2 linked regions of the Stegostoma tigrinum genome follow. The protein of the gene in region 2 interacts with the protein of the main gene of each other region in a pairwise test. Links are inferred from orthologs where the notes say so. Each region holds a gene or a part of one and is shown on either strand. Other genes may lie near its edges. The genes, in order: rpl23 and bccip.

Region 1 (16,141 bases), on a different chromosome or scaffold from region 2:
CAGAGAAGATTTGCAAACATTTTCAGAATCACTACATGTCCCAAAGTGCTTCAGTCAATTTGTACACCAATACATATGTTGCATCAACTTGGAGAGAAAACCAGAATTAACATTACGAGTCTGATAGGTCTGTTTCCACACTGTAGGTATTCTATGATCACTCCTTTAGAACTGATTTCTGTTGTGCTCATGTCATTCCAGACTCAAAAATGTAAAACTTTCTCTCTCCACAGATGCTGACAAGTTTTTCCAGCATTTGTGCCAACTGCAGATTTACAGCATCTGCAGTATTTGATTTTATAAATTTTGTATAAACCTAACTTATGTGACGAATTTGGAGGTGGGTGGGGGCAGTGTAAACAATTTTCATTTGTCCTAAGTTAGACTGTCAATCCAGCCTCAAAATTTGCATTTTAACCATCTCCAAACATTCATTCAGGAAATAACATTTTAAATCAACAGATAGATTACAAGTTAACAGCTTGCTTAGCTAAGTCACCTTTTCGGGAGATAAAGACAGTGGAATTTCCCAATTACGTAATCTGCAGAAGAGAGACAGTTGATATCAAAATGTAAGACTTGAGTGAAGATTATCAAATAGAGGTTATTTTATTTACAAACAGCAAGTGCAAACCACATCTGATTACAGAACGTGCTACAGATAAATTAGAGAACAATTAAAAATAAACTCAATGACTTCTCAAATCTCGGAGTAAAAATATTTATTGAATTGTACAGGTGTTGTTATAGAAAGTGTTTATAATTCTTATGCGATGCTCCCAGCATTGGAAGCAATCCTGGGCCACAGATCTGCACACTCCTTGGCAACAGGGCCTGTGATTGCAGAGCCTAGAAACAAAACCAGGTATTATTAGCAAGTCACAAGTTGACCAGGAGACAAATTGCTTAAAATATGACAAATGCAACATAGAAACAGATATCTAACTATTGATTAAAGTTAGAGGGAATAATCATTTCTCTTCTATCTGTAAAAGATCAGTGTTAAAATTGCAACTGTATCAGATGACAGGTAAAATAACAGGCAGCTCTTCCACAGTTCAAGGGGGACCAATCTACATCAAAGACAGGGATGCAGGTCCAATCTACTTCAGGGTAGTGTTAATTACTTGGATGAGGAAAGTGAATGAACTGTCGCCAAGTTTGCAGACGACCAATAGGTGGGAAGGCAAGTGGTGAAGATGATAACTTGTAACGGTAAGCAGGGTAAAAACTTGGCAGATGGTATAGAACATAGGGAAATGTGAGGTTACGCACTTTGGCAGGAGGGTAGAGCTGAATATTATTTAAATGCATAAAAACACAAAGTTACAGAACAGGGGGACTTGGGAGTCCCTGTGCAAATATCAAAAAGGGAATGGAGTATGAAAGAAAGGATTCTCTGCTAAAACTATATGAAGGAAAGATATGCTGAGATTGGAGATTATCCACCCCAAGGTTCACGAGGTTGATACCAGGCGCGGAGGGACTATCTTTTAAGGAGAGGTTGACTCGGTCCATACCCATGGAGTTCAGAAAAATAACGAGTAACCTTATTGAAATACACAATTTTTTTCAATTCTTTGCTGCAGGGAGCTGACTCCGGGTCATTCAGCATATTCAACGGTAAGGCAGGTTTTCCATCAGCGGATTAACAGTCATAGGGAAAAGGCAGGAAAGTGGATTTGAGGATCATCAGATTGGCTGTAATCTCATTGAATGGCAGAGTAGGCTCAACGGGCTGACTCCGACGTATCCTGGTTTTAAGGAAACCAATCTGTTTTACTGGCGTTATTCTTAGCTGCTGGCCAGACATTTAGCCAACTCAGTGCAGCACTGGATGGTTTCAGGATTTTGGAAAAAAATTATTAACAATTAGAATTCAATGAGTGAAACAATTTAAGGGACAGCAGCATTTATAAATGTCAGGTTCTTTAATTCATATTGAAACAGACCCCCAGCAGCTGATTAAAATTGGGTGAAAAAACCCCAGGAAATTCAAGACTGACTACTTCCAGTCAGTAGAGGCACAAGATGGATAAGCATTCCAAATCCAGTTGCAAAACGAACTCACTTGCTTCTCACAACCGGAATAAGCCTTCAGCTCATTGCTGAGATACAATGGGAGAAAAAAAGTGACTGAATCAAGTTTCAGGATTTGCAATGGAGTGTCACACCACTACTTGAGATTGTACAGCACATAGCAGCTGCCACCTCACCCAAAAGCAATGCGTTGCTCTGCCCTTCCGCGACAACTTGATAAGCCATGGAGAAGAGGCAAAGCAAGTGCTTTTAGGAAGGGAACTGTGCAGCGTTCAATACAACAGAGATGAGAATTCTGAACAGCTGGAAAAAGGAAACATAGGAATACAGAAGTGAAACATTAAATTGTAGATTTTTCGACTGTCACCTATACCTTTCATTTCTCCTTTGTTATTTACTATCACCCCTGCATTGTCTTCGAAGTAGAGAAATACTCCATCTTTTCTCCGGTATGCTTTCCGTTGCCGTATCACTACTGCTGGATGCACTGTACCGTGAGGAAACAGAAAAGATGATCGGTATTTGCAATCTCCCATTATGAAACAAGACCTAAATGAGCTAATTGCCATGCTTATTTTGGTTTCAATTTATTCCATTGTAGAGCTATGGAACAGAAAGTCATCTTTGTAGTTGAACAACAAACACACAGCAAACTGCACTGAAGTCAGCCTTGTGAAGCCATTTAAATCACGGCCCCATCTCTTCAAGAATCAGACTGCAAACTGTTTCACTGCGGATTGAGATTCTACAACAATGCAGCTGCAATCTCACCCAAAAGCAATGAATTACTATTCCCATCCCTGACAACTCACTGAGTCACACAGTACAGACAAAGTGCATGCTTTTAGGAGGGTGAACCAGTCAGTAAAATACAATCATGATGAAAATCCAAGGTGCAGACTATTCAGCTTTGAAAGGGAACAAGTTATAGATGGCATGACATGTATGTGATTGCCTGAAATAGAAAATATTAACCCAAGCACCAAATCTGAGGTATAGACAGTCCATAAGTATTACACACATACAAGCACAAAAAAGTGTTCAGACTTCAAATGGCGACACGTTCTTTATTCTTTGAGTTATTATGTATTATCTTAGTATGCACAAAACAGATTTCACAACTTTGCTTTTGGACTATGAAGTTCAGAAATTGTGAGCAAGTGGCAATATTTCACACTAAGCATAAACAAGCAATCTTCTGCACCACTCAACAAAGAGAGACAAATATAAACAGTAACAAAACATTACTATGTACACTGTGGATGCCAATGAGAATATTACACTCAGAGGCACAATATAAAACACATGGAGTCAGTCACTGACAGACCCAAGTAAACCAGGCAATCACATTTAAGCATTATCCAATAATTCCATTACGTTTCGTCACCATACTAGGTAACATCATCAGTGAGCCTCCAACGAAGAGCTGGTGTTATGTCCCGCTTTCTATTTTCTAAATAGAAAGCGGGACATAACACCAGCGCTTCGTCAGAGGCTCACTGATGATGTTACCTAGTATGGTGATGAAACATCTGAAAACGAACCTTCCAGCTCAGTGAGCAAACTCACATCCAGAACCTCAACCTGAGCTACAAATCTTCTCAAAACTCGCTAATTCCATTACGTACTATCCTCCATTCATTTGAGTTCTAGTAGAAAACTGTTGAGAGCAAAAAGTAAAAACACATCTGAAGTGCATGCACTGACTTCCCAAATGACCCCAATGCATCCTGAGTGAAGCAATTCAAATGTTAATTCACAGACAGGTTACTAGTTTTGCTACAGGTTAGTTACAGGTTGTCATTCTAAATGCAGGTGATGCCCACGCTACATTTATAAACTGAATCTAAGGAAAGCAGAATCAGCTTTGAGTTACTTGAATATCAAGGTTCTCAACACAACCTCAACCAGTTATAAACACCCACATCATCCACTTATTTCCAATGATACTTGAGAATAACCCCACAGTATGTGACATTGCTACTTGGTCTTGCAATCCAACACACCCCATTCTCTCCTTGGTGTCAACTGCATCTCTTGTCCACATTCAAGAATCAACTAAGGAAAAGCCTGTCTCCCTGCTACTCTACACCAACTTTATTTAATGAACTGAAGACATGCACAAGATGGAAAAAGGAGATATCCAAATGAACATATGAGTAAAATAGACATCTAGGATTCCTCAGTGTATATAAAGCCCTGGAGATTAAAACATGATTTGATAAAAACAACATTACACCCATAGTGCTGTACTTGAGAATTCCCACTGCTGACAATGGATTGGACAATTTATACTGATTCAAAGCCACACTTACAGGCTGCAAGATCTTCCACTTCACCATTCCGATTCACTAATTTCAAGGAGCTTACTCACCCTTTTTCCGGAGTTCTGGTTTGCCTTTCTTTACAGTTGCCATGACCATGTCACCAACACCAGCAGCTGGTAGTCTGTTCAAACGTCCCTTGATGCCTTTGACAGAGATGATGTACAGGTTCTTGGCCCCTGAAAGCACATGATCAGCAAACAGGTAAAACATCTTCCTACAGTTACCATAGAAAAAAAGCTGACGCCACGCTTCAAAACATACACAGGCATAAACCATTCAAAGCACGTCTTGACAATATGCAAGAATAAATGCACACAATCTCACACAAAGATCATTTTAAAATAAGGCCCCAAATCCCTCTATGCTAAAATATTGAATGCCCAGTAGTAATATAGCTGGACACAATCCTAGAAAAACTACTTAATTTCACCAGAACAGACCTTCCTACCTTTAGGCAGGAGGGCATGAGTCAGTCCTGCCATTCAATATTCTTGTATTCAATCTACCAACTATACTACCTCTATTTCTTAGGAACCAGAAATCTGTCAAGAGCAACCTTCAACACATTCATAAGCATCATCCACAGTTCACCGGGATTTTCAAGAACTACAACTCTATGTGAGGGCATTTCTTCTAAATCCAAAATAATCAACCTCTCACTTTGAACTGACACACCTATATATAGACTCCTCAAAGCAAAGCAAACAACTATTTAACACTCACTCTCTCAAGCCTTAAGGATTTTATACATTTTAGCAGTCTTGCTTATAACATAAAAGCCAGAACAGGTCATTTGGCCCTTTGAGCCTGCTCCACTATTCAACAAAATCATAGCTGATCTGATTTTAAACTTGACACTACATTCTAATAATCGCTCGTCCCCTTTCATCAAAAATCCCATGAATATGCCTTGGCCCCTTAATATTTCCCAAAGGAAACTCCCCACATGCCAGAAATCTGACTAGCAAACTTTTCCTGCATTTCCTTCAAAGGTAATATCCTTTCAGAGACAAAAAGGCCAAATGTAGAATTATTCTGTCTTACCATATAGGACTCAGAGACAAAAACATTCTTACCTGTATTATCAGCGCAGTTAATCACAGCCCCCACGGGGAGACCGAGGGAGATGCGAAACTTCGCTCCGGACGAACCACCACGTCCTGCAACCAAGGAAAATAAAAGATATTTCAGCAGTATGCAACTAATCAAAAGCAACATGGAATTATATTTAGCCAGGACTTGTAACTGCTGGTCACTTCCCACAGGCCGTTCTATGATCTTTACATAGGGTAATGCAGATGTGTAACTGAATTCCCAAACAAAGTAATTAAGTTTTCCAACATCTTCATTAAAGAAAGAGGGCTAGTTTAATGTCAGAAGCTTAGCCAACCTTGTATAATTAGAGGCAGACCTTGTAAACTTGAAATATTAACAGGCAGGTGCAGGACAATTCAGATCTTGTCTATTACTAATTATTTCCAGAATTCTGTGTTTCTGGGGTAATAATTGATACTGCCATCTAAGCAGAACTTCACAATAAGAAAAGGTGGGATGTGGAGCATGCAAACTAATCATTTTTAACACCCATGTGTTCCGTTGCTTTGCCTAAACGTCTCCACACAGCAGGCTGAAGTTACAGCATTAAGACGTCTCCCTTCAAGTGAAAGCCCCAAACAACAGCTTTCTGATAGGGCCTCGCTGCTGAAGTCAACGACATGGAGCGGCCGCCTACGCCTAGAAGGCAGCCTACTCCCGGCTTCACCCAGATAACCGATGTACACCCTTTCCACGGTATTGCAGCGAATGTTAAACCAGTTTCTCGGTAGGGACCGAACTTTGCAAGTCTCTCGGCCCCCACGAGCCGGGTTGGATCCAACATGGCGGCCGCCACGGACACCAGAACAATAAGAGGCTTATTATGTGATAAAGTCCGCTGATTTTTACTAACAGTCACACCAAGCGATAGCTAAGACAATTGTAATAATGATCCAAATACAAAAACAGGAGTGCCGGCGATATGTAACACGGATGGCAGTGGATTCCATTGAGGGTCCCCCCAACCGCTTACCTCTCTTAGACATTGTAATTCAGGGAAAGAGACCTAGCACCTTGAATCATGGGATATATCGCCAACACACGCAACATGACGTAACGACGCACATTACGCGTGAACAGACACCACGTGACAGCATGTCATGTGACAAAACATGCACAATGCGGAAATATTCATATGCAGAAGATTGACAGCATGCGAGGAGGTTATTTACCCTTGAGAATAAAATGTGAGGCTGGATGAACACAGCAGGCCAAGCAGCATCTCAGGAGCACAAAAGCTGACGTTTCGGGCCTAGACCCTTCATCAGAGAGGGGGATGGGGGGAGGGAACTGGAATAAATAGGGAGAGAGGGGGAGGCGGACCGAAGATGGAGAGTAAAGAAGATAGGTGGAGAGAGTGTAGGTGGGGAGGTAGGGAGGGGATAGGTCAGTCCAGGGAAGACGGACAGGTCAAGGAGGTGGGATGAGGTTAGTAGGTAGCTGGGGGTGCGGCTTGGGGTGGGAGGAAGGGATGGGTGAGAGGAAGAACCGGTTAGGGAGGCAGAGACAGGTTGGACTGGTTTTGGGATGCAGTGGGTGGGGGGGAAGAGCTGGGCTGGTTGTGTGGTGCAGTGGGGGGAGTTTTGTCTTCACTGTTGGTTATTTGCAACAGCAATTCTGAAGAAGGGTTACTGGACTTGAAATGTTAACTCTGTTTCTCTCTCTTTGTCTATAGGTGCTGGCAGACCTGCTAAGTTTCATCAGCGCTTTTTGTTTATTTCAGTTCATTTAGTATCACTCTCCTGTCTTCTCCCTATCGCCTGCAAGATATTTCATTTTGAGATAATTATGCAGTTTCTCTTCCCCCGTAAGCCATGCTGCCACAGCCTTCTCACAGTCGAAACAATTTGCTGCAGAAAGTGAAAGCAAAATACAAACAGATGCTGGGAATCTGAAACCAACACAGAGAAGACTGGAGAAATGCAGCAGGTTTGGCAGCATCAGAAAGGGAGAGTTCACATTTAAAGTTTGGAATGATATGAGGCTACATCAAGACTGTTGCTTTCTGCAAAAAATGCTTTCCTCATGGCATCATTGCTTCTTTTGTCAGTAGCCTGAAATCCTTTGATTCTTGGGTTTGCCCAAATGAGAATAGTCTCTCCTTGTCTACTGACTTCCTCAAAGCTCTAACCACTTAAAGGATCTCATTAGCGGTGTTACATGAGTCATTGCAACAAGTTGCAACTTTAAGGATATTGTGCCACCAGATAAGTTGATCTGGAATGAAATCTGGCTGTAATCAGTGCAAAAACTCACTAACAAGTCAAAAATCAACCTACAGCCTGAAGACATTGTGAAACTTACATGCAATGGTCACAGTGGAAAGTGTATTTAAAGTATCATTGCATTTTTAAAAAGCATTTGACTGAAAGCCAAATAGGTACAATGGTTCAATGCAGAGCTGGTGGCATGGTAGCTCAGTGGTTAGCACTGCTGCCTCACAGCATTCGATTCCACTCTCAGGCGACTGTCTATGTGGAGTTTGCATGTTCTCACTGTGTCTGCGTGGGTTTCTGCTGGGTCCTTCGGTTTCCTCCCACAGTCCAAAGATGTACAAGTTAGGTCGATTGGTCATGCTAAATTGCCCCATAGTGTTCAGGGATGTGTAGGTTAGGTACGTTAGCCATGGGAAATGGAGGGTTACAGAACTAGGCTAAGGGGATAGGTCTGGGTGGGATGCTCTTTGGAGAGTCAGTGTGGACTCTTTGGGCTGAATGACCTGTTTCTACATGGAGGGATCATATAAAATAAAACACATTTGACTGTGAATTGAAGCCTGTGGTTCAAATCCTGATGTGAACTTGAAATTTCATCTTAGGGGTTGTTTAACTCAGTTGGTTTGAGATGCAGAGACACGACATTGTGGGTACATTTCCCCACGTCATAAAGTTCCTGCCTTCTCAATCTCACCTCATTATACTCACTGCCAGTTACTGCTCTCTAAGGAGAGAGCTGCCCTCTGGCACTATGGTGACTTTTCAGAAGCTTGTGAGACAGAAGGGAATAGAGGAATATGTGGACAGTGATAAATAAAAATAAGGCTAGAATAAACACAAGTACAGAGAATATTGTAAGCAATCACACCTTGAAATTAACAAGCACAATCTGATCACAGATTAGTAAGAACTTCCAATGCTGGAGTTAGAGCTAACACAGTGTGAGGCTGGAGGAACACAGCAGGCCAGGCAGCAGAGGAGCAGGAAAGTTGACGTTTGAAGGGTCTAGGCCCAAAACAGCAGCTTTTGTGCTCCTGAGATGCTGCTTGGCCTGCTGTGTTCATCCAGCTCCGCACTTTGTTGTTTCACATCAGGACCTTTCTTCAAAAAATCTGCTCTGCAGGGTTCTGTCACCAAGCAAGAGTTTGAATCAAATAAGCCGGTGTTTGATTACCAATATGTCTGCAGAGCTTTAAAAAAAGAGACATTTGAAGAAGACTACTTTGGTTCTGATTTTGCTGTGGAAATAATGGTGAGGTTAGTGGTATTCGCGGCTATTACAGAATAAGTGAGATTCCTGTATTTGGCTCATACTCAGTTAAACACAGACGTGTACAACTTGCAATCTGAGATACTTTAATTTTCTAGAAGCCCTTTTGTACTATCTGACACTTCTGAAATACATGTAAGACATGATGTTGGCTTGTGTATCTTTTACATATCGTAGAAAAAGAGACAGCCTTATTGAATAAAGTGTAAATGAATTTAAATTACATACCAGCTCCTAGTTATGTGCAAACAACATTTGCAACACTAAAAATGAGATTTTAAATGTGTGATATCTTATTGTTACAACAGTTACTGTTAAAGATTTTAAAATAATTTTTAAAAAATTGTTTCAAATTTTATTTTTCTCCAATCTCCCATTTTGGACCAAATTTTCACATCGACGGAGAGGTCCTCCATCTGCATGAAAATGCCAGGCCAGAATCCAGAAGCCCTGTCCCTGGATACAGTCTTTGCAATATCTTGAGTAATTCTTGGAGGAAATGGGGATGAATCCTAATTTGCACATAGAGTCATACAGCACGGAAACAGACCCTTGGGTCCAACTCGCCCATGCTGAGCAAGTATCCTGAACTGAACTGGCCCCATTTGCTTGCATTTGGCTTGCATCCCTCTAAACCATTCCTATTCAGGAACCCATCCAAATGTCTTTTTAATGTTGTAATTGTATTCACCCCAACCGCTTTCTCTGGCAGCTCGTTCCACACACGCATCACCCTCTGTGTGAAAAAGTAACCTTCGGGTCCCCTTTATATCTTTCTCCTTTCCAACCTAAAACTATGCCCTCTACCTTTGGACTGCCTTACCCTGGGGAAAAGACCTTGGCTCCTCACCTTATCTAAGCCCCTCATGATTTTATAAATGTCTTCAATGTCACCCCTCAGCTTTCAACGCTCCAGGGAGGAAAGTCCCAGCCTATCGACATCCTTAATTCCCGTGAAGCACCCCTCGACATAAAGCAGCAGCTGACTCCAAGCATGTGTATTTTGATTGAAAATGTCAGAGATGCTGATGCTCTGGTACCTGACTCTGAATGAAGCAATACTAGTCAAGAACAATTTGTGTATAAATAAAAGGTGACTTGGTGATGGGATATTGGTCTCTGACAAGCTGTTTCAGGCCTAGGCATAGGTGTCTTTAAGGAGGGAACAGGTATCCTTTGCGACTGTTAAACATGGACATGGCTGTGTGTAAACTCATTGTCAAAGAATTGTTAACCAGGACACATTTCTTCTCAAGAGTTACTTTCTGATTTCTGTGTCTATTTCTTGGTTTAAGGAGCTCTATTTTTAATTCTCATTTCTGTTTATTACATGATTAAGTCATGTGGAACATTACCTTCTAGATTTGTGTTGACATGTGGTGAATGGTAATGACTTTTTTTTAAAAACAGTCAGACATTAATTTTACACAGTGACTTCCAAACAGCATTCACAAGAAACTGTGTGATTTTAGCTAAGTGTCCTGGACGCCATCAGGGAGACAGTTCATTTGGTGCTCGCTGTCTTGGGTTACACAACCAGCAGAGAGCAAAGGGGAAGGGGCCAAAAACAGGTTCATGCAAGAGAAGAAACATGATAGGAAAGGTGCTTTTAGCAGCATAAAAACATTTTAAAAAAGCAGAATTAGGCCATTCATCCCTGCCACATAATCCAATGGCTGATCTACTCCAAGCCCTCAACCCCTACATTCATGCCAACTCCTCATAGCCTTCAACTCCACAATACTTAAAAAATCTGTTTACCTCTTCTTTAAATACTTCCAGTGATCAACCTCCACAATTTTATGTCAAAGTCTCCTCAGAATCTTGTATACTCCAATTAGACCTCCAACGACCATCATTTTTTATGCTGGGTGTATGTACAACCTACAGAGACTCTTCCCCTGATTTCCATTGATTCCAGTTTTGCCAGGGCTCTTTGATATCACACTCAGACAAATGCAGCCTTGATGTCAAGGGCTGTCACTCTCACCTCACCGCTGGAATTCAGCTCTTTTGTCCATGTTCGAACCAAGGCTGTAATGAGGTCAGGAGCTGAGTGGCCCTGGTGGAACCCAAACTGGGTGTCACTGGGCAGGTTATTGCTGAGCAGGTGCTGCTAGATAGTGCTGTTAGTGACACTTTCCATCACTTTACTGATGTTCGAGATGTATAAGACATACCAGGACAATTGTCCACATTAGAAACTGAAAGAACTACGGATGCTGTAAATCAGAAATAAAAACAGAAGTTGCTGAAAAAGCTCAGCAGGTCTGGCAGCATCTGTTGTTAGGTAGATATCCCTGTTGTAACTGTACTGAAAAAGCTTGGCAAGCAGCCAAGTCATTGATACAATTATGTCAGCAAAATGACAAAATGAATGTTTAAATGCCAAGTTAATTACAATATACATGAGTGTGAGGTGGTGTGTTTCGATAGACAGCTATGCCTTGAAAAATAAGAGTCTAAATGAGACAGAGGTGGATCCAGGATGATTTTTGAGCCAGAGTATATTAGAAGAATATCAAATCTGTGGAAACGGTGCAGAAGAGATTTAATAGAATGAGACCAAGGATGAATGACAACAGTTATGTGGGGAGAATAGAGATGTTGGGATTATGGTACCTATAGCACAAAAGGCTACAGAAGAATTTGATTGAGGTGTCCAAATTATAGTGGATTTCCTCGAGTCAATGGGTCCTTTGCCAAAATAGAACAGTGTGTAAATGATTGTACCAACTGAATGTAGCATGAAGAAATCACTGTTTTAATGCTGATATTGTTAGTTGAGTTAGATTACACTGAATCAGGTACTCAATAACACTGCACACTTTTGAATTAGTGAGATAACAAGGTGTAGAGCTGGATGAACACTGCAGGCCAAGCTGCATCAGAGGAGCAGGAAAGCTCCTGTGCCCAAAATGTCAGCTTTTCTGCTCCTTTGATGCTGCTTGGCCTGCTGTGTTCATCCAGCTCTACACCTTGTTATCACAGATTGCCCAGCATCTGCAATTCTTACTATCTCTATGTTTGAGTTAGTGACGTTGTCTTTATGTATGGGTCAGTTTCATGGAGACTGTTGGGTGATGAGGAGCTGGACTGATGTTGTTTTAACTATGAATTTCAACTGTCTGCTGGGAAAGATCCAAACAACTTGGTGATTGCTGAACCCCAAAGAGTGTTGTTTTCCTGAGTTTTACCAAAGTGTAAACATCAAGAATCAATATGAGACAGATAGTAGGAACTGCCGATGCTGGAGAATCTGAGATAACAAGGTGTAGAGCTGGATGAACACAGCAGGCCAAGCAGCATCAGAGGAGCAGGAAAGCCATTTCTGAAGAAGGGTCCCGACCCGAAATGGCAACTTTCCTGCTCCTCTGATGCTGCTCAGCCTGCTGTGTTCATCTAACTCTACACTTTGTTATCTAAGAATTAGTGTGATGTTTGATCAAGGGTGCAATGACATAATTGCAACAGCACATTCAGAGGTTTTCCTTTAAGCTACAAGTGTTTCTCAAAACACTATCAATGTGAGGACCAAGAAATTTGCTCAGCCAATATTCCTTTATCTGGCAATAAATAACAACTGCTGATGCTGGAGTCTGAGATAACACAGTGTGGAGCTGGAGGAACACAGCAGGTTAGGCAGCATCAGAGGAGCAGGAAAGCTGCTGTTTCGGGTCAGGACCCATCTTCAGAAATGGGGGAGGGGAAGGGGGCTTTGAAACAAATAGTGAGAGAGTGGGTTGGGCTGGGGAAGGTAGATGGGATGGTGATAGTGATAGTGAGTGCAGGTAGGTAGCAGTGGGGATTAGTCAGTGAGGTGGGAGAGAAGACGGACAGGTCAAGGAGGCAGGGATAAGAGGGGCTGGGGAAGGTAGGTGCAATGGCGATAGATGAGTGCAGGTAGGCATTGACCAATCCCCACCACTGCCAACTTGATAGAATTCTTTGAGGAAGTGACAAAGTTGATGGATGAGGGAAGGGCTGTAGATTTCAAATACATTGACTTCAGTGAGGTGTTTGATAAGCTTCCCCATGGTAGGCTGATGGAGAAAGTGAAGTTGCATGGCGTCCAAGGTGTAGCAGCTGGATGGATAGAGAGTTGGCTGGGCAACAGGAGGCAGAGAGTTGTAGTGGATGGGAGTTTCTCAAAATGGAGAACTGTGACCAGTGGTGTTCCACAGGGGTCTGTGTTGGGACCACTGTTGTTTGTGATATACATAAATGATCTGGAGGAATGTATAGATGTGTGATTAGCACGTTTGCAGATGACACTAAGATTGGTGGAGTAGCAGATAGTGAAGGAAACTGTCAGAGATTACAGCAGAATATAGATAGATTGGAGAGTTGAGCAGATAAATGGCAGATGGAATTCAATCCAGGCAAATGCGAGGTGATGCATTTTGGAAGATCCAATTCAAGAGTGAACTATACAGTAAATGGAAAAGCCCTGGGGAAAACTGATGCATAAAGAGATCTGGGTGTCCAGGTCCATTGTACCCTAAAAGTGACAACGCAGGTCGATAGAGTGGTCAAGAAGGCATACGGCATGCTTTCCTTCAATGAAGGGGAATTGAGTACAAGAGTTGGTCGGTCATGTTACAGTTGTAAAGGACTTTGGTTCGACCACATCTGGAATACTGCGTACAGTTCTGGTTGCCACATTACCAAAAGGATGTGGATGCTTTGGAGAGGGTGCAGAGGAAGTTCACGAGGCTGTTGCCTGGTATGGAGGGTGCTAGCTATAAAGTGAGGTTGAGTAGATTAAGATTATTGACACCAGAAAGATGGAGATTGAGGGGTTCCTGATTGAGGTCTACAAAATCATGAGAGGTATAGACAGGGTGGATAGCAAGAAGCTTTTTCCCAGAGTGGGGTACTCAATTACTACCCGTCACGATTTCAAGATGAGAGGGGAAAAGTTTAAGGGAGATATACTTGGAAAGTTCTTTACACAGAGGGTGGTGGGTGCCTGGAACATGTTGCCAGCGGAGGTGGTAGATGCGGGCACGATAGTGTCATTTAAGATGTATCTAGACAGGCACATGAATGGGCAGAGAGCAGAGGGATAGAGATCCTTGGAAAATAGGTGAAAGGTTTAGATAGAGGATCTGGATCAACGCAGGTTTGGAGTGCCAAAGGGCCTGTTCCTGTGAGGTAATTTTCTTTATTCTTGGTTCTTACCTGCTCCTCTGATGCTGCCCGGCCTGCTGTGTTCCTTCAGATCCACACTGTGTTATCCCTTTACCTGGACATTTTGTTAACCCCTAGAACCTTCAAAGAAGTTAAGAACGTTCATGATAGTTGGGAATTCCGATGTGGCAATTTAGTTTTGGTTTTGGAATGTAGGTGACACCAATAGAGGCATTTACTGCCCATCCGTAATCACTATAGGTCATTAAGAATCAGTCTCTGGGAGCTGAAAGCCTACGTAGGCCAGGCTGGGTAATGTGGCTTCCTTTACTTGAAAGAATTTCATTAATCACTTGGGTTTTTAACGTCAGGTTCATGACAGATTATTTTTCTGCTCCAAAATTTATTGAATCCAATTTCACACTTTCTTACTGTGATAGGATTTTTCTGGCCAAATAATCATAACCATGAGACGAATATGGAGGATGATGGGATAGTGTAGAGGGATGGGCTTAGATTAGTTCACAGGTCGGCGCAACATTGAGGGCCGAAGGGCCTGTTCTGCCCTGTATTGTTCCAAGTTCTATGATATGTCTGAAAATAAAACAAAATCAAACCTTTCAGATTAAAATAGAATAGCAAATGTGGCAGATAGGATGGTGACATGAATAGGGGCATGACAGATGGAGTTAAATGTGGACATGTGCACAGTAATTCACTTTGTGAGGATCAACATCAAAAGACAGTAAACTATAAATGAACTATAAGATGATCCAAAGGGATGATGTGGGGAATTCTGTTCATTCAGGGAATTATCAGGACCTGGAGTGCTGTCTGGAAGTGTGGTAGAAACTGATTCCATTAATGTTTTGAAGCGGGGCATGGAACAGATACTTGAAGCTAAGGAACTTGTAGGAACTTATTGGTCAAAAGGCAGGAATGCGAGACTCAGCACAACTGCACTTGGAAAGAGGTTTGGTTAACTTGGCTAGACAGCCAATGCACCAACAGTGTGGGTTCAATTTCTGTACCCTTTGAGGTTACCATGAAGATCCTGCTTTCTGAGCCTCACCCCTTGCCTGAGGCACAGAGACGCTCAGGTTAAACCAGCATGCATTGTCTCTCTCTGTCTCTCTGAGGAGACAGCAGTCCTCTGGGATTATGATGATTTTACACTCTGTGGAGTCAACCTCTCTCTGGGACAAATTGATCTACTGTAATGCAGCTAAAGTGTACACTATGCAATGGAGGAGGTGTTATAATTTTAGGTATAATTCTATGAAGCTGCTTTGTGTTTATGATCCCTTGCCACTTTCAAACTAAACGTAAACAAACAAAAAGTTACAAGATGCTACTCTCACTTATTCAAAGGGCATCACCAACTGTAGCTTCTGGTCCTGCCAGGTGCCTTTTGTTCTCCCTGTCTCCATTAACCAAACATGGGCCAAAGATGGTCAGCCTGATTCTTTCTACCTGAGTGACAATTCCAGCTTCAATGGTAACTCATTCATCTTGACACAAACTGAAGTCATGTGAGATGAAATAAAAGTGTTAAGGGTTTCATTATTTTTTCTTGGGTTGTGTGAAATTTAGGACGGGATACAACAAGAAACTCTTCATATTTCTAAAACATGGGCAAAGCTTGTCTCATGTGCATCGAAACAGACAGACGTATCTTGAAGGAGCCTCAAACAAAACTTTGTGACTCAAGGATGAGTTATGCCCAGCTAAGCTGTGCACTAGGTTTTGGCCACATTTCCTACATTACATCAGTGACTGGACTTCAATGTACAGGTGGGGTGGTAGGAGTGGGACTTGAATGAACACACAGCTTTCTGACACACAGTCTGTCAAAGTTACTACTGAAACCTGGCTATCTTCCTCCCAAATCATTCATCCGGAAGCCTATACAATGTTGTCACTGGTACAAATTGTGAAGACCGCATCAGTTAATTGCAGCATAGATGGGCCATTAGATCCTTATGACTTGGTAATATGCCAGCCATCATGGTCATTGCTTAACAAGGAAAGCCAACTCATTTAACCAATGCTAACATTGC
Region 2 (16,225 bases):
TTTCAAATTTCTCTAATATCAAATATGAAGCATACTATGAATATGATTCACATGGCACCAAACAGTGCAAAGTGTGTTAATAATATCAAGCAGTCAGATTAGTAAATCAAGAACCGTTCTCATCTTAAAAGCCAAAAGAACTGCCGATGCTGTAAATCAGGAACAAAAACAAAGTTGCTGGAAAAGCTCTGCAGGTCTGGCAGCATCTGTGGAGGAGAAAACAGAGTTAATGTTTTGGTTCCGGTGACCATACCGCCTAGAACTGTTCTGAGTTCTGAGGAAGGGTCACCAAGTCCAAAACGTTAACTCTGTTTTCTCCTCCACAGATGTCGCCAGACCATTCTCATCTTAATTTTTTAAGATACTTCCAGTAGCACATTCCAACATCATTATTATGAACATAACTGTCAGGGCAAAAACATTAATCCAATTTTCTTCTTCAGATCACTGACTTGCTTTGTACTCCAACATTTTTTGTTGTGATGTTTTGACCCCCGAGTGAAAGGAGCACTACTTCAAATTACCAACAAACTATTCTCCTTGGATAACTGGCCTGAGAAGATAGCTATAAAATTTCATAAGTAGCAGTAACAGGATTGCCTTCACTACATGTTGGAGGAGAATATAACTTTCACATGTAGGCAATCATGCTAACTACATACCTTGAACAGTACCAATTGCTGTACAAACTCAACTCTGAAACAAGTTTACAAATAATAGTTGCATTTCATAAGGAAGTCATCGCAGGGATACTAATGCCATCTGCTCATACAACAGCATCTTTGCATAGGTCTCATGTTTATGTTGGTTAAATCATATGAAATACATGAAACATTGCAGAATAATCTGGAATTATCAAAACATGCCTAACCAGACTCTGTATCAGAATCTGCAATTTTTATGAGCTAATTTGACCAAATGACAAACCAAATTTATTTGCAACTTTAAGCTCAATTTTCAAGCTCAAAAATCTATTTTAAAAATATGAAGATCAAGCAGGGAAAAAAGCTATTATTATCTTTCTCAGTTTTGATCAGGTACTCTGTGATAGTACTTAAGAACAAAGCCAACTCAGTTGACATACCCGAATAACACTTCCAACATGATTTTGTTGAATTATGATGTTAGCTAGTTCAATGATGTTGATACTGGCCTTGAGAAATAACTGCAAAAGGAAAAACAATGAAATGCAGCATTACAACTGTTGTAAATTGGCACTAAATTAGCCACACAAAACCTACACCTAAAAAAATCTCACATTTTCAAAGTTACCTGTTGCAACAGTCTCTTGATTCCATTATGATCATTGTCAGATATGGCATGCGCTTCAAAATCTACTTGCACTTCCTGCAGAACAGAAATATTTGTAAACATATGCAGGCATTAACACCATAGAGGGTGGGACACCAGCAGCAAAGTCAGTATCGTTTAACCCATCTGCAATTACCAAGATGGCGGCAAGATGCCACCTTGCACCACTGCGGTTACATAGGGGCCTCTAGTATTTACCATAGTGACAGTAAAAGAATGAATACATATTTTCAACACAAGCAACTTGGAAATGCAACCAATTTGGCAAATGAGTTTGGGAAGTTGAGAAGGAACCTTGGTGAATGGCTGCAGTGTATTTTGCAACACAGAGATGGTGAATTGAGTGATTAAGGCGGAGGTGGTCCAAATCAATTGGGCTCTCTCACCTTCCTTGTCCCCTCCCCTTCAACCCTTCCGCCAATTTCTTGTCCCCTTCCCTCCAACTTCTTCCCTTTCTTATCATCCTCCAACTTTTGCCCACTGCGCAACTATCTGCTCCTCCGAGATAATAAAGTGTGAAGCTGGATGAACACAGCAGGCCAAGCAGCATCTTAGGAGCACAAAAGCTGCCGTTTCAGGCCTAGATCCTTCATCAGAAAAGGGGGAGGGGGAGAGGGTTTTGAAATAAATAGGGAGAGAGGGGGAGGCAGATCGAAGATGGATAGAGGAGAAGATAGGTGGAGAGGAGACAGACAGGTTAAAGGGGCGGGAATGAAGCCTCTAGAGGTGAGTTTAGAGAGTGGGGAGGTAGGGATGGGATAGGTCAGTCCGGGGAGGACGGACAGGTCAAGGGGGCGGGATGAAGTTAGTAGGTAGGAAATGGAGTTGCAGCTTGAAGTGGGAGGAGGGCATAAGTGAGAGGAAGAACATTCTAGCGAAAAGGATAAATAGGGTGGTCAGTAGGACTTTAAACTAGTGAGTCGGGGGGAAAGGAAAGTGAAAGAGAGAGGGAGTATGGAGTTAAGTGAAAAGATAAGCAACAGGATAGCATGCGTACAGGTGGATTTAAGCTCGAGGCAGACTAGGAATACAGCAAAAAGGAAGGATAGCTTAAGACACTTTGGGATTTCCAACCTCTCTAATAATGATAAGAAAGCTAGCATTAAGACACTTTATCTAAATGCTCTCGGTATTCACAACAAAGTAGATGAATTAACAGCACAAATCCTCTTGAATGATTATGATGTGATAGGCATCACAGACACAAGGTTGCAGGGAGCTCAGGACTGGCAGTTAAACATCCAAGGATTCACAACATATCGAAAAGACAGGGAGGTGGGCAGAGGGGGTGGGGTTGCATTGTTAGTTAAGAATGGAATTAAATCTATGGCACTGAATGACAGAGGGTCAGTATATGTGGAGTCTGTGTGGGTGGAATTGAGAACCACAAAAGCAAAAAAAAACTATAATGGGAGTTATGTATAGACCTCCTAACAGTGATCAGGACAAGGGTCGCAAGATGCACCGAGAAATAAATAGGGCATGTCAGAAAGGCAAGGTCACGGTGATCATGGGGGACTTCAATATGCAGGTGGATTGGGTGAATAATGCTGCTGGTGGATCCAAAGAAAGAGAATGCATGGTATGTTTGCAGGATGGCTTTTGGGAACAGCTTGTGATGGAGCCCACAAGGGAGCAGGCTATTCTGGACTTACTGCTATGTAATGAGCCAGACTTTATAAAAGACCTTAAAGTAAGGGAACACTTCGGAGGCAGCGATCATAATATGGTAGAGTTCAATCTGCAGTGTGAAAGAGAGAAGGCAAAATCGGATGTAATGGTGTTACAGTTAAATAAAGGTAATTACAGGGGCATGAGAGAGGAATTGATGAAAATCGACTAGAAGCAGAGCCTAGCAAGGAAGGCAGTAGACCAACAATGGCAGGAATTTCTGGGTGTAATTGAGGACACAGTACAGAGGTTCATCCCAAAGAAAAGAAAGATTATCCGGGGTGGGCTTAGACAGCCATGGCTGACAAAGGAAGTCAGGAGATATGTCAAAGAAAAAGAGACAGCCTATAAAGTGGCCAAGAGCACTGGGAAATCAGAAGGTTGGGAAAGCTACAAAAACAGACAGAGGATAACAAAGAGAGCAATAAGGAAGGAGAAGATCAAATATGAAGGTAAGCTAGCTAGTAATATTAGAAATGATAGTAAAAGCTTCTTTCAATACATAAGAAACAAACAAGAGGCAAAAGTAGATATTGGCCCGCTCCAAATTGATGCAGGAAGGCTAGTGATGGGAGATAAGGAAATAGCTGAAGAACTTAATAAATACTTCGCATCAGTCTTCACAGTGGAAGACATGAGTAGTATGCCAACAATTAGGGAGAGCCAGGGGGCAGAGTTGAGTATGGTAGGCATTACAAACGAGAAAGTGCTAGAAAAGCTAAAAATTGATAAATCTCCTGGCCCCAATGGGCTGCATCCCAGAGTTCTGAGGGACGTGGCTGAGGAAATAGCGGAGGCTTTGGTCGTGATCTTTCAAAAATCACTGGAGTCAGGGAAAGTCCCAGATGATTGGAAAACTACTGTTGTAACTCCCTTGTTTAAGAAAGGATCAAGGCAAAAGATGGAAAATTATAGGCCGATTAGCTTAACCTCAATAGTTGGTAAAATTCTAGAATTCATTGTCAAGGATGAGATTTCTAAATTCCTGGAAGTGCAGGGTCAGATTAAAACATGTCAGCATGGTTTTAGTAAGGGGAGGTCATGCCTGACAAACCTGTGAGAATTCTTTGAAGAGGTAACAAGTATGTTAGACCAGGGAAACCCAGTAGATGTTATCTATCTAGACTTCCAAAAGGCCTTTGATACAGTGCCTCACGGGAGGCTGCTGAGCAAGGTGAGGGCCCATGGTGTTCAAGGTGAGCTACTGGCTTGGATTGAGGATTGGCTGTCTGACAGAAGGCAGAGAGTTGGGATAAAAGGGTCTTTTTCGGAACGGCAATCGGTGACGAGTGGTGTCGCGCAGGGTTCAGTGTTGGGGCCACAGCTGTTCACCTTGTATATTAATGATCTGGATGAAGGGACTGGGGGCATTCTGGCGAAGTTTGCTGATGATACGAAGATAGGTGGACGGGCAGGTAGTACTGAGGAGGTGGGGAAGCTGCAGAAAGACTTAGACAGTTTAGGAGAGTGGTCCAGGAAATGGCTGATGAAATTCAATGTGAGTAAATGTGGGGTTTTGCACTTTGGAAAAAAAAAATACAGGCAATTTAAACGGTGAGAAAATTCGCAGATCAGAAGTGCAAAAGGGATCTGGGAGTGTTGGTCCAGGATTCTCTAAAGGTTAACTTGCAGGTAGAGTCCGTAATTAAGAAAGTGAATGTAATGTTGTTGTTTATCTCAAGAGGGTTGGAATATAAAAGCAGCGATGTGCTTCTGAGGCTTTGTAAGGCTCTAGTTAGGCCCCATTTAGAATACTGTGTCCAATTTTGGGCCACACACCTCAGGAAGAACATATTAGCCCTGGAGGGTGTCCAGCGGAGATTCACAGCGATGATCCCTGGAATGGTAGGTTTAACGTATGATGAACGGCTAAGGATCCTGGGATTGTACTCATTAGAGTTTAGAAGGTTGAGGGGAGATCTAATAGAAACTTACAAGATAATGTATGGTTTAGAAGGGGTGGACGCTAGGAAGTTGTTTCCGTTAGGCAGGGAGACTAGGACCCGTGGGCATAGCCTTAAAATTAGAGGGGGTAAATTTAAAACTGAAATGAGACGACATTTCTTCAGCCAGAGAGTGGTGGGCTTGTGGAATTCATTGCCGCAGAGTGCAGTGGAGGCAGGGGCGTTGGATGCCTTCAAGGCAGAGATCGACAAATTCTTGATCTCAAAAGGAATCAAGGGCTACGGGGGGTAGTGCAGGGAAGTGGTGTTGAAATGCCCATCAGCCATGATTTAAATGGCGGAGTGGACTTGATGGGCTGAATGGCCTCACTTCCACTCCTATGTCTTATGGCCTTATGGTCTAACAGGTTAGGGAGGTGGGGACGAGCTGGGCTAGTTTTGGGATGCAGTGGTGGTGAGGGGGGAGGGTGGAGAGATTCTGAAGCTTGTGAAATCCACATTGACACAATTGGGTTACAGGGTTCCCAGGCGGAATACGAGTTGCTGTTCCTGCAACCTTCGGGTGGCATTGTTGTGGCACTGTAGGAGGCCCAGGATGGACATGTTGTCTGAGGAATGAAAGGGGGGGGTAGTTGAAATGGTTCGTGACTGGGAGGTGCTGTTGTTTATTGCAGACCAAGTATAGGTGTTCTGCAAAGCAGTCCCCAAGCCTCCACTTAGTTTACCTGATGTAGAGGTGGCCACAACAGGTACAGCAAATGCAGTATACCACATCGGCAGATGTGCAGGTGAACATCTGCTTGATGTGGAAGGTCTTCTTGGAGCATGGGATGGGGTTGAGGGAGGTGGTGTGTGGGCAAGTGTAGCACTTCCCGCAGTTGCAGGGGAAAGTGCCAGGTGTGGTGGGGTTGGAGGGGAGTGTGGAGCAGACAAGGGAATCACAGATGAGTTGCGGGAAATGCGGGAGACACGGTCGAGAGCATTCTTGACCACTGCGGAGGGGAAGTCGCGGTCCTTGAAGTTCACCTGGACCATCTCCAAACACATCCCTCACCTTGCTGGACCTCTCTGTCTTCATCTCAGGCAACCATCTAGAAACCGATATCCATTTCAAGGCCACCGACTCCCACAGCTACCTGGAATACACCTCCTCCCACCCACCTTCCTGCTAAAATTCCATCCCCTATTCCCAATTCCATCACCTCCGCCACATCTGCTCCCAGGATGAGGCATTCCACTCCCGTACATCCCAGACATAACTCATCCTTCAAGGATCACAACTTCCCCCGCAGTGTTCGAGAATATCCTCGACCATGCCTCCTGCATTCACCGCAACTCATCCCTCACATCCCGTCCCTGCAATAACCACCAAAAGAGAATCCCCCTCGTCCTCAGATACCACCCGATCAACCTCCGGATCCAACGCATCACCCTCCAACACTTCCACCATCTACAATCTGACCCCAACACCAAGACATTTTTCCATCCCCACCCTTGTCTGCTTTCCGGAGAGACCACTCTCTCCGTGACTCCCTTGTCTGCTCCAGACACCCCTCCAACCCTACCACGCCCGGCACTATCCCCTGCAACCCCAGGAAGTGCTACACTTGCCCACACATCACCTCCCTCACCCCCATCCCACGCCCAAGGCGGGCTTCCACATCAAGCAGTTGTTCACCTGCACATCTGCCGATGTGGTATACTGCATCCGCTGTACCTGTTGTGGCCTCCTCTACATCAGGGAAACCAAGTGAAGGCATGGGGACCGCTTTGCAGAACACCTACGCTCGGTCCACAATAAACAACTGCACCGCCCAGTCGTGAACCATTTCAACTCCCCCTCCCATTCCTCAGACGACATGTCCATACGGGGCCTCCTGCAGTGCCACAACGACGCCACCCGACGGTTGCAGGAACAGCAACTCATATTCCGCTTGGAAACCCTGCAGCCCAATGGTATCAATGTGGATTTCACAAGATTGAAAATCTCCCTTCTTCCCCCCCCCCACTGCATCCCAAAACCAGCCCAGCTCATCCCAGCCTCCCTAACCAGTTCTTCCTCTCACCTATGCCCTCCTCCCACCTCAAGCCGCACCTCTATTTCCTACCTATTAACCTCACCCCACCCCCTTGGCCTATCCGTCCTCCCCAGATTGACCTATCCATTCCCTACCTCCCCACCTGCACACACCTCTACAGGCTCCATCCCTGCCCTTCTAACTTGTCTGTCTCCTCTCCACCTATCTTCTCCTCTATCCTTCTTCAATCTGCCTCCCCCTCCCCCTTTTCTGAAGAAGGGCCTTGGCCCAAAACGTCAGCTGTTGTGCTCCTGAGATGCTGCTTGGCCTGCTGTGTTCATCCAGCTCCACACTCTGTTATCTCGAATTCTCCAGCATCTGCAGTTCCCATTATCTCTGATACAATTTTACCCTCTCCTCTGCCCCACTACCCTTTCCCATTTCCCATTTCCCTCAACACACCCAATCTCCACTACTCCATCTTATCTACCCTGACTTTTTCCACTTGTGTCCATATCCATTTCTCTTCCGTCCTGAGTCTCTCTCACTCTTGAAAAGAAACAGATAGGTTGTTGATTAGTAAGGGGGATGAAGGGTTATTGTGGGGATAATACTGTGGAGCTGGAAGAACACAGGGAGCCAGGGCAGCCGGAAAGTTGTTCCTCTGATGCTGCCTGGCCTGCTGTATTCCTCCAGCTCCACGCTGTATTTTCGCTGACGCCAACATCTGCAGTTCTTGCTACCTCTTGAGGCGGAGATGGCGATGGGGAGAACAGAAGGCAAGAGGATGGGATTGAGAAAGACATCGGCCATGTTGGAGAAGATTTGATGGACTGAATGGCCTAATTCACCTCCTGTATCCTCTAGTCTCTCCCGCTCTCTGTGCTCCCCACCTCCCCAGTGGCTGCGCGCGCTCGGGTTCTAAACCCGTCTCGCGGGCGGTGACGGTTGGGTCGACCGTTATTTTTCTCACTTGGTGTATTTCCGGCTCCGACTCTTCACTACTGTCCCCAGACTCTTCCTCCGTTCCACTTCCCCTAGACTCCTCTACTGCCGGATCCAGCTGCCGCCGTTTGGCCGAAGACGCCATCTTCCAGAGCGCAACGTCAGCGGAAACTACACTGCCCGGGGGCCTTTTCCACAGCCGGAAATCATTGCTCTAAACCGTGACAACCATTCCCACTTGCCGCGAAAATCATCTGCGATTCCGTATCGTGTGAAGTGTGAAGAAACACCTCTTTCTGTGAGTGTCAGATTAAAGCTACTGTTGGGTGCAGGGATCATTTGGCGCTGCCCATTCATGACCTTCGACCCCAAAGCGGGCGACCTGCGGTGACGTCATCGGTGGGAACGCCTTGGCAGTGAGTGAGAAATAAGTCTGTAGTATTGTAGATATAGGGCGGACCTGGAATGGGGGCGCGGTGGGAATAGGAATAGAGAGGAGATTTCTGAAGGAGGGTCCACACCCGAAACATCGGGAATTCCTGGTCGTCTGATGCTGCCGTGCCTGCTGTGTTCTTGCAGCTCCACACCTGATCCTAAGAGAGAGAGCTACTGGGATAAAGGGAGGACTGGAATATGGGGGTGGTGGGACCATGGAATGTAGTGGTTTGGAATAGAAAGGAATCTGGAAAATGGGAGTGCAGGAATAGAAGAGGACTGGAAATAAAGGGGAGGGGGATTTGGATGGTAGGTGGTACTGAACATAGGGAGTAACTTGAAGGAACTGAAATAACTGAAATATGAGAGAGGATCTGAAGTATAGGGGGACTAGAATGTAGGTTTAATCTGAAATACAGAGAGGGGCTGGAATAAAGTAGGGATTTGAAAAGTAATTGGGGAAACTGGAATATAGCAGGATTAGAGTATAGGATGGATCTGGGATCTAGGGGTTTACTGAAATATGGGGGGGATCTGGAGTCCAGAGAGGTTCTGGAATATTGGGGACTGAATATAGAGAAGTACTGGAACATAGTAGGAACTGGAATAGAGTGGGGATTTAAGGAAGGACTGGAATAAAGGTGTAGGTACGGGTATATTGGCGTTGAGAATATAGGGTGGATCTGGAATTTGACAAGGACTGAAACATTGGGGACTGGAATGTAGGGCCATCTGGGATATAGAGAAGTACTGGAATATAGGGGATTGAATATAAGGAAGCACTGGAACATAGTAAGACAGGAATAGAGAGGGGATCTAGTATAAAGTGGGGAGTTGGAATATAATTGTGGGGACTGGAATATGGGGGATGAGAATGTAGGGTGGATGTGGAATACAGGGAGGGACTGAAATGTAGGGGGCATCTGGATTATAGGTACGGACTGGACTCTTAGTAGGCAGAACTGAAATGTAGAGGACATCTGGAATGTAAGGGGGACTGAACATAGGTCGTAACTGAAATATAGTGGATTCGGGTATAAGGGGAGATGTGGAGTTTAGGGACGGTTGAAATATTGGGGGAGTCTGGATTATAGGGGTGGATCTGGAAAGAGTAATCTTTGGAATATGGGGTACGAGTTGGAATATGTAGGGGTCTGGATGTAGGAGGGAGTCTGGAAATGGTGAGGACTGGAATATCATGAAGGGGCCTGGATTGTCGGGAGGACATGAGTAATACAGGGGTGTCTGGAATATAAATGTCTGGAATATGTGGGAGTGCCTGGACTGTCGAGGGGAGGGGTAGTCTGGAATACTATTGAGGCGATCTGGAATACTGTTGCAGAAGGAATATAATTGGCACAGTCTGAAATCTGGGGAGTCCAGACAGGATGCAGTATGTGGTGGAGAGAGCAAACTGTCTGTAATATAGGGATCTATCTGAAATGCATGGAGAGGGATAGTGTGGCGTATACAGAGATCCGCCTACAATGCAGAGAGGGGACAGTATGAAATATGTAGGTACCTTTTGTTAATAAAGAGAGAGACTTCTGGAATGTAAAGGTCCCTGTAGTAATATAAAAAGAAATCTCCTGTAATATAGAGATCCTTCTTACATAGAGAGGGACAGTCTGAATTATAAAGATACATTTGAAATACAGGGAGGGGTGGTCTAAAATATGTAAGGAGAAGAACAGTCCAAAATGTACAGTGACCATCAAATACATAGTCAATGATAGTAAGTAATGTAAAGAGTGAGTGATAACCTCTGGGTACATAGCTGACATTTAAAGGACTACCTGAAATATACAGAAAGTGCCAGATTGATATACATAGAAATGGATAGCCTCAAGTACATATATAGTGACAGTTAGAAATATAGAGAGTGACAATACTCAGTGCCAGCCTGAAATATGCAAAAAGCTACAGTCAAAAACATAGACAATGTGACAGTTCAAAATGATCGTAGAAGTAGAAAATCATAGAATCCCTACAGTGGAAACAGGCCCTTCGCCCAACAGATCTACACACTGACCCTCAGAGCATCGCACCCAGTCCCATCCCCCTAATCTACACATCCCTCAACACTATGGGCAATTTAGCATGGCCGATCCACTTACCCTGCACACCTTTGGACTGTGGGAGGAAATCCACGCAGACATGGGGAGAATGTGCAAACTCCACACAGACAGTCGCCTGAGGTTGGCATCAAACCCGGGCCCCTGGTGCCGTGAGGCAGCAGTGCTAACCACTGAGCCACCATGTAGAAACATTGACATAGAACCATAGAATATAGGAGCCAGAATAGGCCACTCAGCCCTTCAAGCCTGCTGTGCCATTCAGAATAATAATGGCTGATGATCCAATTAAATACCTTGCTCCTGACTTTGCCCTATATCCTTTGATCCATTTATAGTTGACAGTGAAATAAAGTGACAGAAATGTACAGTCAGAAACACATAGAGAGTCTGGAGGCAATTCCAGAGAGAGGCCATGGAGGGATTTGAAAAAAATTTGAATTTTAAAACTTGGGAGTAGTTTGATCAGAAGCAAGTACAATTTGGCTAATAAAGGATTGATGAATGAATAAGACTAATGCAAGAACACTGCAGAATTTAGGATGAGCTTAAGATTTTGGAATGTGGGAAGGAAGCCAGGAGCTTTTTAGACTGGTTGAGTCTAGAAATAACAAAAGTGTGGATCACTGTTCCAGCAGATGCGCTGAGGTAGTGGTAATTCTACGGAGTTAGAAATCAGACAGTCTTGGTGATGGCAGATATATAGTCTGAAACGGGTACTGAGGTCAGATATTCTGCTAATGTTATGAATAATTTGGTTCAGCCTCAGATGGTTGCCGTAGAGCGTGATGAAATGGAATTTGTGGTAGTGACTGAAGACAATGGTTTCAATCTTCCCAATATTTAATTGGAAGTGATTTTTGTTGTTAGATGTCAGACAACTAGTCTGATAATTTAGAAACAGTGAAAGAATCAAGAGATTGAGAAGTTACAGAGAGAGGTACATATCAGATGAGTGGTACAAGGATAAAACAGTATGAATTTCAGTTACATATAGAGCCGCATAAACTGAATGACACCTATCTAGCAGAATACTGACACCCAGCTACGTACTGAGTAAGAGTGACAGTTAACAATTCAATCACAGGTGCTTACAGAATATCACATTGACAAAGGCATAGTTTGACTGACAGCTACATGCAAAGGGATTGTATGTTGAGTGACTGAGATATGTACATAGTAGGAAATGACACTGAGTGGCATAAATACTCTGAATGGGCAACAGAAAGATCAATATTGATATGCACAAAGCGAACCATAGAGGGAAGCATTGCAAGATATGGTCTGAATTTTACATGCACCTCTGTGTTTTTGGCAGAGTGGGTATGTAAATTTGGAAGGGTGCCAACCTCACCCCTTTCTCACCCATCTCTGAGCTCACTCCCATACCATGGTAGGTGGACAGGAGCCAAACTGACTTCTGGAGCGATTAGTTAATGAGGTTGGTCAGCAGCTTCAAGAGGTGGGACCTCTCCCCAGTGATGGGTAGCTGCCCCAGTCTCATCCACGAATTCAATTGATACACCAGCACTAACACCCCTATCCCCTCCTGTGCAATAGCTACAGCTGCAGCGTGGCTTTCTTCTTGGTCAATCCACTCCTCACTGACTTTGCTGTGGGGTGTGGGGGATGCATTGGGTAAGCTGTCCCTCCGTCACTAACCCATGTAAAAGTGTGCCCATTGTGATTTTGCTTTTCATTCAGATCTTAATCACTTAGACAGTGACTACAGGCACCACATTTACATGTTTAGACAATGTACTGGACTGGATCAATAGTCCTTCATCATGTACAAAGCAAATAAGAGGTTTTTGTTCACATTGGTGAGTCGGAAAATTAGGGTCTGTGCTTCCATTGATTAAACAGATTCCTCATGATAATTTTGCCCATCAGGATTCATTGGTAATAGAGTAATGTAAAATTGGATTATGAATAATCATGCTATGAATAAGAAATCAAGATATTGGATGTGGGTCTGGCATTGTTGCTGGTCCAAAAAGCTGCATTATCCTGAACCCAAATGAACTTATTAAACGCTATAGTGCTGAATCAACTGTTTTACTGCTACTCCTATCTAGCAAAGCATTTGGATCATTTCAAAAAAGAGCTTAGTGGCAGCTGCAATGTTAGCAATCAACAACCAAGGAAAGGCTATTAGCCTCATGACTAACAAGTTTTTATTGTTGGAAAGTTTAAAAATGTAATTCTCCATGTTGCAACTTGTATTCAAGTTGGGAAAAAGTTAGAATAAATATAACGGACATAGTTCTCAGGCTATAAATTAAATTCCCAAGCCAAAACAGTGCTTCTTGAATTGCCTGCACCAAGTTAAATGGTTTGGCTTTTATTCTGAGGCAACATCTGCTGGATTGAGACCTCAAGAAACATCTTTTCTACTTGACACCTGTCTATCCCTTCAAGAATTTTGTAAGTACCTCGTAGATCACCTCTCAGTCTTCTAAACTCCAGGGAATGCAGGCCCAGTCTGCTCAATCCCTCCTCATCGGACCGTCTTAGCATCCCATAAACCAATCTGGTAAACCTTACTGTAATCCTATGCCAAGAGGATCAGAACTGTGTACAATAATCTAGTTGTGGTCTCACCAGTTTTATGTACACTGAACAAGAACCTCTAACTCCTGTGCTCAGATTCTGTTGGGATAAAGACCAACAGTCGATTTGCTTTCTGAATTGCTTGCTGCAGATGCATACTAGCTGCCAGTGACCTATGATCAAGGACATCTAGGTCTTTTTAGATTTCAACATTTTCCAATCAACACCATTAATGCAATATTCTGTACCTTTGTTGCTCCTACCAAAGTGGATAAACTTTTTACATATCAATGTTATATTCCATCTACCATGCTCTTGAGTACAGATTCAGTCTAAGATTCTTAAAGCCACATTGCCTCCCCCCTCACAGCTCAAATTCCCATTTGAATCATTTGCAAACTTGAAATATTATAATTGGTCCCCAGATCATTGATACAGATTATGAACAGCTGGGGCCTAAGCAATGAGATACCCTACCAACTTGAGAATTAACTATTCATTCCTACTGTCAGCTTTCTGTGTGTTAACCAATACTTAATCATTGCTGCACAATATCCCTAATGTCATGCACTTTAATCTTGTTTGCCGACTTCCTATGTGAGACTTTATCAAAGGACTTCTGAAAATCCAAATATCCCATAACCACTTGTTATCTGCTAGTAGCATCATCAAAATCTTCATCACATTTGTCAAATCTGATTTCCCCTTCATAAATCTATGTTGACTCTGTCCAATCAGACAACCATTTTCTAAATACCCAGTAAAAGCATTTTTTTAAAACAGAGTCTAGTATTTTACCTGCTACTGGTGCAAGCCAATAAAGCTGTGATGTTTTCCCTCCCCTTTCTTTCTTAAATAGTCTGGTTAAATTTTCAATCTTCCAATCTGTAGGCACCATTGCAGAATTTTTGAAAGGTAATCACTAATGCATCTATTGTCTCTCTAGGTATCTGTTTGAAGGTTATTGGGCCCCAGGGGTTTGTCAACTCTCAGTCGGAGTAATTTCCAAAATACTATAACTTTACTAACACTAATTTCTTTCATTTCTACAATTGGTCACTGGACTTCTGGATCTTCATTATTTCAGGAAACTTCTTTTGCCTTCTTCTGTAAAGACAGACAAAAAGTATTTATTTGGTTTCTCTGCCATTTCTGTCTTGTTTATAAATTCATCTGTCTCTGACTATAATGGACCCTCATTCATCTCTACTAATTATTTCCTTTATATTTATCTTCAAAGGCTTTTACAATCTGTTTTATGTTTCTTACTACTTACATTCATTCCATTCTGTTTTTGTAACAATTTCTTTGTCCTTCTTTGCTGAATTGTAAAATTCTCCAAATCTTCAGGTTTGCAACTATTGTTGGCAATTTTATAAGGTTCCTCCTACAATTAACTTGCCTTGCTATCCCTGCCACTTCTGCTTTCTGTCAAGGTAGGAAGCGTGTAAAATCAAACTGTTGATCTTTCGGCCACCTCATGACATTTCTAAAATTTTACGTTGGGGAGACATCTGCTGTCCACTTGCCCTTGGACCTTTTGAGGATTCCTCTGCCACTATTATTTGACCTGTATTGGGGAGGCTGACATCATGTGGGAAATCCGGTAAGCTTTAATTGCATAGGCTGGTGTCAGGCAAGGAGTACAGTTGAAGGGGTTGTGGAGAACTCCATTGCAAGTCCTCTAGGCCAACCCCATGTATCATCTGATCCCTGGTCTCATGAACCCAGCCTCCCAACCTCACTCCCCCACTGACATCCCCAACTCCAGAATTACGAGGACTCTTCGACATGATATAACTGTCTGTGGCAATAGCATTGGCCAGTATGCCCAGCTGGTGTTGCTTAGTCTACAGAGCTACTAATTGGCCAATACTTTTCCTCCTGAGAAACCAAAAGAAGTCTCACCTTAAAGCAATTAGCCCTGCTTCCAGTGTTAATTTGCTGTGGGACAACCATCAAGATCATTAGTGGGCTCCCCATCCATCTACTTTTTAGCTGAGAATGCAGAGACTGGTGCCCTGTAAAATCCAAGAAACAGAGAGAAAAGAACAGAGCCATGATCAAGTACATGTAGGATGAATGGACAGAAATAAATACACACAGGAAATGGAAGTAAATGTGTGAGGTACAGTAAGTGAAAGCAAAGGAATTGATAGAAAAGGTGTTACAAACTTAAAATGAGAAATTCACTTAAGAATTCTTAATGCGCAGTAGAAACATGAATCTCCCAGTATGCCGTTAAGTATGTTGCCATAACATTAAACAATAGTGCAGTTGAGAAAAATTCAAGATTCAATGCCCAGTATGTGGCTGACAGGATAGAATTGAGTGAGTTACAAATATCCTCACCATTCCTAGGCAAGTGAAAATTTAGCTGAGGACACAGACTTAACTAACACAAGTTTTGTCAAACAGGCATATTCAAATAATTAAATATTATACCTTTGCCCCATTAACAATGATACTAAGAAACATTGGTGTGGTATTTAGCAGTATTCATCTAACCTGTGTATTAAATGCTTTATTAATGACAGTAATGAGATTCGAATATACACTATGTAATGTACAATTATTTCTTCATACATTTGCTACATATTGCTTTTTACACCCAGCCACCTCTTTGAGTGTCTGAAGCAACGTTTCCTAGAAAGATGAGATGGAGACAGAAACTAGTGTTAACAAAAAAGTCTTATCGTAAAAACACACATTTGTTGAAGGGTAGTTCACAGACAGCGGTGTAAATCTTTATAATTTGAATTTGAATGAAACTCTTAGATATTGATATCCAATCCTTAAAACAGGGCGTGGCTACAAAATGGAGGCATCGATGACTAAGTGACACACTTATCTTGTTATAACAAAATGTGTGCCTGTACATTTCAGTTTACAGTCCTGCGTACGAAGCATTTTAGTTATTTGTAATCCTATTGATGTTAGCAATTCTGATGAAGTGTGAGAAATGAAAGTCCTTTTGCTTAAAGAACCCAAAGAAGGAGAATTGGGAGCTGATCCTTATATTCAGGTAAGTGGCCGGGAAAGTGTTAATTTTGATCTTTTATATCTCTATAATTCTTCAAATGTTATTGTATGCAAATATTTATTCAAAATAATAGATTTTTATTAATACAACCTTAATGCAAAACATCTTGATTAATCATTGTATGGCTAATGTACTTTTGGAGGAGACATTTTGCAGGCAATTACACAACAGTGTAAGCTCAATTATGCAGTTTTATATGAAAAGGAATCAGAATTTCTATCACAATCGAATTTGAATTGTTTTTGTTATCAGGAGTTTATTTCACATGGC

Evidence for each region.
Region 1: the proteins of bccip (region 2) and rpl23 interact in binary tests that used the Homo sapiens proteins (3 or more experiments, as listed by UniProt). The link is inferred for Stegostoma tigrinum from reciprocal best matches to the Homo sapiens genes BCCIP and RPL23.

The regions. Positions count from the first base shown.
Region 1 is NC_081384.1:7,373,633-7,389,773, forward strand, and holds rpl23 (large ribosomal subunit protein uL14), read right to left. Parts: upstream 6,546-16,141; 5' UTR 6,449-6,545; coding exon 6,436-6,448; intron 5,528-6,435; coding exon 5,444-5,527; intron 4,544-5,443; coding exon 4,415-4,543; intron 2,528-4,414; coding exon 2,414-2,527; intron 850-2,413; coding exon 767-849; 3' UTR 708-766; downstream 1-707.
Region 2 is NC_081373.1:31,758,480-31,774,704, reverse strand, and holds the start of bccip (protein BCCIP homolog), read right to left. Parts: upstream 8,222-16,225; 5' UTR 7,995-8,221; coding exon 7,878-7,994; intron 1,348-7,877; coding exon 1,273-1,347; intron 1,166-1,272; coding exon 1,085-1,165; intron 1-1,084. Other genes in the region: uros (uroporphyrinogen-III synthase), read left to right, coding at 15,875-15,937, 16,208-16,225. UniProt on the Homo sapiens protein: During interphase, required for microtubule organizing and anchoring activities. During mitosis, required for the organization and stabilization of the spindle pole.